Linked DNA regions of Drosophila melanogaster. The protein of the gene in region 2 binds, or shares a complex with, the protein of the main gene of each other region. Each region holds a gene or a part of one and is shown on either strand. Other genes may lie near its edges.

Region 1 (3,751 bases), on a different chromosome or scaffold from region 2:
AGACTTCTGCTGGTGATTGGGAGTTGAATGGGCCGAAGGCGCACAGGTCTTCTCCTCCGTCGGGTCCAATTCCAAAAGGTAATTCTGAAAGAGTAAAGGATTGCTCGATATATTCTTTTAATTAAATAATAACATTAAACATACCTGATTCTGCCAGAGCTCTTCCTCAGTTCTGGCGTTTACATCCGCATCGCTATGCATCCACGGATAATCATCCTCTTCACTGTCATCGTCTTTATCACTATTCTCGTCATCTTCGTCGTCCTCGTCATCATCCTCCTCGATATGGCCGTTGGCATCCACGGACTGTCCATGCTCCTCCATATCAACCAGCTCTTCGGTGACCACTTCCATTTCAATTGATTCCAAAGCATCATGAAAGATATCGCCTCCAACGACTTCCTCGGTGTGCACTTCTTGCATATGCAGATGATCTTCCTCAGCGACCAGTTGGTCCTCTTCCTGAGATATTTGCTCCTTATGTGCCTCCATCTCGTGCTCCTCTGCTACTTCCGTTTGCTCGTGGATGTGGTGCTCGAAGTCCTGATTCATGCGCTGGAGAATAAACGTGCTCACCTTTTTACCGTTGAATTCACCGCGGCCTTTGCTCTCCGAGCGTTTGCTGGCTGGCTGATTCGTTACCGCTCCAGCGTGATGGTCCAGAGCGGGAGACTCCTTCATGTTGATACCCCTGGGAAGTGCATTCGCGAATTGAGGCTGCGCATCTATCGTTTGTGTGCCCTGTTCCCGCTCCCGAAACACAGTTTGCGTCTCAGCATGACAACGTATCAACTTCTGCTGCGGGGCAGCAGGTGGCAGTGGGGGATCATCGTCGTCGTCGTCATTGTCGTTCCTTCGCTGGTTCTTTCGCCGCAGCTGTTTGCATAGTTCCTGGTTGGCGGCCTCCAACTGAGCAACGGCCTGCTTTAATTCCTCATTCTGCGCCTTCACCACGCTCATCTTAGCGCTTTGGTCGTCCAGCTCCTTGTCCTTGGCCGCTATGCTGTCCGTCTGCTCCTGCATCAGGTTTAAGTTCAACATAACCATGCGCCTCAGGTTGTTGTTCTCCGAGATGAGCTTGACCATATCGGCGCCGGCACACACGGTTCCGCCGGAGGAAGGAGGAGCCATGGCTCCGCCACCATGCTCAGCTGGCAGCGAATGCAAAAGCTTTCGGTAGTTGTTATTACCCCCGCCATGTCCTCCACGACCATTGCCATATTGCTGGCGCTCATAGATCTTCCCGGGATGCTGATGAAGATGCTGCGTCTGATTGGGATGGCCGTGCAGATTCCTTTGGCGGCCACGCGACGGTATGTGGGGATAGGGCGATTCCAAGTAGTTGGCCCGCTTTTTGGGCGGCCACTTGAATCGCTTGTCCATGGCAGTCGAATTGAATCCCGTGCCGTCGGTCCTACGATCTCATAATTCTCCAAATGTTTTTGTTTTGTTTTGGTTTTGTTTGCGTCGCTTGGGGTGCACACAATCTCTTCAGCTGATACGCCGTACAATGCGTAGAATCCCGATTACAATTTCGCACCACACTAAATTTTCCTTGCTCGCCCTCGCAAAAGAACCGCTCTTTTCTTGGCCAGAATCTAATGGATTTATCGTTTTAAACGTGGCGTTCTTATCGCACGTGGTGACCGCATTTAGGCAGCAGTTTTTCGGTTCGTTTTTGAACGTTCTTTCACCGCTTTTTCCACAATTGTCCTCACAATGTAAAGTCGCCCCGAAAATGCTCTTAAAAGTATGGCGTTTTGCTGGCGTTGCCACTTTTCGCCAAAGCGCAGAGTTGATTGGGGGCATAGAGATGGCAATTTGCTGCGATGCACGAGCTGAGCACGACAGTCACGAAGTGAAAATATTTTCACGAAACTGTACTTTGTTGCACATAATAGCTAATAGCTAAGTTAACACGAGCCGACGAACTAGTACAGTTGGCTTAGTGTATGAAACATAATATCAAAGTGCTGAGACAGCATTGGGCCGGAGTCTTTGTTAGCTTTAAGAATCATTTTAAGTTTCAGCTTAAATTTGCAGTTACCAGAATAAAGAGCGGCAGCTCGTCAACTCCGACTAAATGTCGTTAAACACATTTTTATTTCTTACTCTGCCAGACCACAAGGATAGCAGTTAAAAGAGGACAGTTTCTCTCAACGTAAATAATAATCTTCCGTTGCTCCCCGGATAATTATTTTCAATTTTTATGTGGTATGAGTAATTGGAATGAGAAAATAGATGAAAAAGAAACTAGCTAGCTAATAATGTATTGATTTTATTTTATTTTTTTTGGTAATTTTATTACATTACCAACTCCTTTTAAATATTTCACTAAATTTAAATAACTACAATCTTTGGATGAATTATCCTTCCTTGTATAATGGTATAAATATAATAGAATAACAAAAACTCGTGACGCCAATGTGTCGCTTAGTGATAAAAAAAACGTGTCACGCTGCCATCTCTTATGTCTGCTGCCACCAATGCAAAAGCCGGGTTGGCTGTACAAATTACCTTTAGTGCCACCCACTAATGAAAATATGTCTAAGCAAATCAAAATAGCCTTTGGGAAAGACCAAATAGTTATGTAATCGGAAAATTAAAAGAACAAAGAGCTGTTCAGTTGGCAGCCCCCTGTGACTTATGCAAGCGTCGCCTGTGAATGGTAGATAGAGAAGAAGAACAAAAATTGGCGCCAAAATTTTGTTAGATTGTTTATTTGGTATTTAAGTTTCGGCCACTAGTTCTATGGCATCCCTGTTCGGAGATGATGGTGTGGATGACCTATTCAATGACAACATTCCGACTGACCCGGATCAGCTGCCCAGCGATGGCGAAGGCGAAAAGCTGTTTGCGGACGACGAGGACAACGGCGTAGAACCTGGTAGCCAGGATGCCCAGATAGTGGAGCCTAAGAAGCGAGCTGTGAGAAATCCCCGACCGCGACTCACTGTGGAAACACTTCGAGGTCCTCGTGGCATCCAGACCATCGAAGATTATTTTAAGGACATCAAATTCAAGGGCAAGGGTTACGAGAAAACCGATCTCGACGAGGTGCTTCGCCGCCTGCAGCACTGGGGCCATCGTATGTATCCCACCTACACCTTTGACGATGTGCTTAACAATATCGAACGGCTGGGCAAGAAGAAACCCCTCCAAGTGCACATGGCGCGATATCGACTCGGTCAGCTGGAGCAGATGCGCGCCCACGAAGCGGAGGCCCTGGAGGAGGCGCAGGATGAGCAACAGGAAGGTGCCGGCGATGAACCCTTTGATGAGTTCGACGCCCTGCTAGGTGAACAGATTGCCATGTCCAGGCTGGCGCCTCCCAGCCCGCAGCAGTGGAAAATGTCTACTGCTTCCAGTAACAGCACGCTGGCTACTCCGTCATTCTCCCGCGGCAATGCTGTAATGTCCACGCCGTACTCCGGTGTAAATGCGACCTTCGACAGAAGTGGAGCTTCTGTGGCTCCGGCCTTCGATCGGAATGGAGCTCCGTTGGCATCGATGGACATCAGCGACTATGGTCAGCCGCTGCCTCCCTCACAGCCTCCCACGCCGGCGGCTAAGAAATTATCCAACGAACAGATGGCCAGGATTGCGGAAAACCGCAGGCTGGCGCAGGAGCGACTTAAGGCCAAGCAGCAGCAGGAGAGCGGAAGTAAAAGTTAGTGTATATTTATGATATAAAAACGCATATTTTTATAATTTTCAAAGGATAATTTATAAAAATAAATGAATAAGCTAC
Region 2 (3,751 bases):
TATCGCCCAATGCTCGCTTGTTCGCCAAATCACCGGCCTTGGGCTCAAAGCGGGACACACGTCTCAGGATCTTAACCACGATACCACCAGATTGAGTAACGAGCGTGAGGACGTGATCCTCCATGCCCATTCGTCCGTACAGCATGGCATCCACCGTCTCCTCGAGAACAAACTCGTCGACGAGGTAGCGCTGCAAATAAAACTTGACCACTCCTCCTCTAAGGGCAATGGCCACCAGGGTGAGTCCCAGATGGGTCAAGGGCAGCGGTAGGAGGCAAACGGGTAGATCGGACATGGGCACCTGGTATAACAGCTTGCCCCGCTTTGAGTAGCACAGATAGCGATTGTCCATGGTGGAGGCGATTATCGTCTGATCGATGGGCAGCAGTAGGAGGCCGGTTAGGGGGATGCCGAGCTTGAAGATCTCCTGTCCCTCCGATTGGCTTTTCCGCAGGAGGTAGACACCGCCATTTCGCGTGGCCACCACGATGCAGAAATCCGTCTCAAAGGTTCCCTGCACGGAGATCAGGCTCGGCACGGCCGTCTCATCATCGCAGGCCTTGCCCTGGTAAACCAAATTGAAGCCCTGCGGCTCCAGGATCATGATGTGCCCGGTATCGGTGGCCAGGACCAAGTGGGACGGGGGATTGGCATCGCTGGAGATGCGCTTTATGCAGCACATGGCCACAATGTTGCCAACCCGACCCACTGGGGAGTCCTTGTGCGTGGCAATGAAGTGCTCCCGCTCCTGCTCGCCCATTTGCAGAAGTCGCTGCGATTTCCGCGACAGCTTGGAGTGGTCTATGGTTTTTAGGGAGTCAAGCAGGGCGGGATGGGCACTTGGCTTCACAACCGGCAGTTTTCGCCATACCTCCAGCTCCAGATCCTCGGAGTCCTGTGCGGGAATCGTGTACTTGAAGTATGGCTTTAGGTGACGATAGAAGAGCACTGACTCAGCGATGGCCACGGCAATTACTGGAAAATTGTATTCATTATGGAATCTAATTTAAAAATATTAAAATGCAACGTTATTTCTACCCGGCGTCTTGGGCTCCGTTTCGTCGATGTAGAGACTTTCAATGGCCGCTGGAATCCCCGGCAGTGGCTGCTCGTGCTTGAGTTTAAGACCACGGAAAACCTTCAGCGTGGCAGTGGGCTCCTCGGCGGCATTGTCCAGTGAAATGTCCGCCGCCAGCAGCCGGACATATCCGTCGCACTGCACGTCGCTCAGGGCCATGCAACTGGTGAGGGTGGTGAGATGCGGTGGAGGAGCCTCCTCCGCCGTGTCCACGTGAAGCCAGTTGGGAGCACCGGCCATGGCAGGATCTTGGTGAAAAATTTGCAGCACAGTGTGAAAACGAACAGGTGATTCAGGACATGCTTTTGTTTTGGTTTTTCTTGTCCTTAGCAACCGGGATGACAGCACATTTTTTGTTACTTATTTGGGTTTTTTCTTAAAAACACAAAATGATCGTCAGCATTATTCTTAAATGCTAACAGGGTAAAGCTACGTATAACTAAAAAATCATTTGGCAAAAGGTAAAACTGTGATCAAATTACTGATGATAGAAAATTTTATTTAAATTGGCCGCCAAAAATGCATTTTGTCTGGTCACACTTAAGGCCGGCCTGCTAAAGACGTGCAAGCATCGACAGTATGTGTTATCGATAAGTGCGAGGGAATATTCGATACCCACGTCAATTGCTTATCGCAAAAAACATTCGTTATAAATATCATCTCAGCGACGCCAGCAGTTGAATTCAATATTTAACATTTTGTATACATAAGTGACTGACTACGGCCCTATTTAACTGCAAGTAATGACGGAGCTAAGGGACGAGACACCGCTCTTTCACAAGGGCGAGATAGTCCTTTGCTACGAGCCGGATAAATCGAAGGCCCGTGTTCTTTACACCAGCAAGGTAAATACACATGCACACACACACACACGCGCGCGCATTGAAATGTCAAGCAAACGTCGTAGGCGAAGTTTTCACAAATGATTTTCCGTTTCCCGCAATTTTCCGTACATGCCGCAGGTGCTAAACGTCTTTGAGCGCCGGAACGAGCATGGCCTGAGGTTCTACGAGTACAAGATTCACTTCCAGGGCTGGCGTCCATCCTACGATCGCTGTGTGCGCGCCACCGTTCTATTGAAAGACACCGAGGAGAATCGCCAGTTGCAAAGGGAGCTGGCCGAAGCTGCCAAGCTGCAAATGTAAGATAACCCCCTAGACATGCGTGGAATACCTCTCTAACGAGTTCCCCCTTCTTTTTCGCACAGTCGTGGTGACTACTCCTACAAGGGCACACCCGATAAGCCATCGGCCAAGAAGAAACGCGGCGGAAAAGCGGCCCACGTTGAGGAGCCAATAGTGGTTCCAATGGACACGGGACATCTTGAGGCGGAGCACGAAATGGCGCCCACTCCACGAGCAGCGGGCAACCGGACGCGGGACAACAGCGGTGGCAAGCGAAAGGAAAAACCCCCGTCCGGAGATGGCCGATTAAAGGGAAACCGGGGCAGACAAACAGAGACCTTTTATAACAATGCCATAAATGATGTATCGGTCTATAACCATGTGCCACAGGAGGATCGCATTATGATGCGAGTCAGCGAGCGATTGCGAGAGCTTATAGAGTACGATCGGAATATGATCAAGGTACTAGGCAAACAGCACGCACTGCCCGCCCGCGTGCCCATCGTGACCATCATGGAAAACTTCGTCAAGCAGCAGGCCGTGGAGCTAGCCATTAGCATTAAACAGGACAGCTCGAGGGCCAGGAACACGCAGAGTCGCAATGCCAGAATGGAGCGGGAATACGATCGCGTTATGTCCACGTTGGTTACCACTCAATATCAGACTTAACAACCCACTTATACTCTTACTTATTAACAGTGTCTGCATGCTGAAGGAGGTGGTAGACGGATTGCGTATCTACTTTGAGTTCCACGTGGATGACCACTTGCTGTATACGGAGGAGAAGGAGTATGTCCACAACTACCTCACAGACGACAACATGCGCAACTGCAGCCTAATATTGAACAAGTCGTACGAGTATATCAATCCCAGCGGTGACACGGAACTGATCGGTCTGGACGGCACGCCAGTGGTAGAAGGGTCGGGCGACACCAATGGACAGATCGGAGTTATTAATATCGGCGGTCCGGAGTACGAGAAGCAGTTGCAAAAATGCCTGCTCTACATTGTTACCGCCAGCGGGAAAAACACTGCGCAGGCCTATGAGAGGACTTCCCCATATACGGCTGCCTACAAACTGCCCGTGGAGATGCGTGGATTTCTGAACGAAACATTCAAGTGGCGGCTTTTGTCAGCGGAATCGCCGCCAGAAAAGTCCATGGTCTTTGGCGCTCCCCACCTGGTTAGGCTAATGAGTATGTACAATCTTTCTTGCATTCTATAACACACATTAATTCATGGTACTTGCAGTTAAAATGCCCATGTTCTTAAACGCATCGCCGATCAGCAACAAGAAGCTAGAAGATCTACTTCCCCACCTCGACGCCTTCATCAAGTAAGTCTAAGACCCCTCCCTAGTCCATCACGAAGCTAATCTGTTGGTTTTTCAGCTACTTGGAGAACCACAGGGAGTGGTTCGACAGGGAAAACTTTGTTAACTCCACTGCCCTGCCCCAGGAAGATCTGCAGCGGGAGCTGTTGGACTCCCTGGATGGGATTGCTGCTTAGCTTTAGTTGATCGTAGTTATCTAGTTTATTTATTATTACG

What was found.
Region 1: msl-3 (region 2) and msl-1 share a complex: the UniProt entries of both Drosophila melanogaster proteins name them as parts of the male-specific lethal (MSL) histone acetyltransferase complex.

Annotation. Positions count from the first base shown.
Region 1 is NT_033779.5:18,687,043-18,690,793, forward strand, and holds the start of msl-1 (male-specific lethal 1), read right to left. Parts: upstream 1,759-3,751; 5' UTR 1,384-1,758; coding exon 145-1,383; intron 85-144; coding exon 1-84. Other genes in the region: CG10336 (uncharacterized protein), read left to right, coding at 2,752-3,675. UniProt on the Drosophila melanogaster protein: Component of the male-specific lethal (MSL) histone acetyltransferase complex, a multiprotein complex essential for elevating transcription of the single X chromosome in the male (X chromosome dosage compensation).
Region 2 is NT_037436.4:7,123,493-7,127,243, reverse strand, and holds the start of msl-3 (male-specific lethal 3), read left to right. Parts: upstream 1-1,710; 5' UTR 1,711-1,821; coding exon 1,822-1,923; intron 1,924-2,040; coding exon 2,041-2,219; intron 2,220-2,285; coding exon 2,286-2,843; intron 2,844-2,901; coding exon 2,902-3,398; intron 3,399-3,453; coding exon 3,454-3,538; intron 3,539-3,593; coding exon 3,594-3,711; 3' UTR 3,712-3,751. Other genes in the region: BBS1 (Bardet-Biedl syndrome 1), read right to left, coding at 1-975, 1,039-1,318. UniProt on the Drosophila melanogaster protein: Component of the male-specific lethal (MSL) histone acetyltransferase complex, a multiprotein complex essential for elevating transcription of the single X chromosome in the male (X chromosome dosage compensation).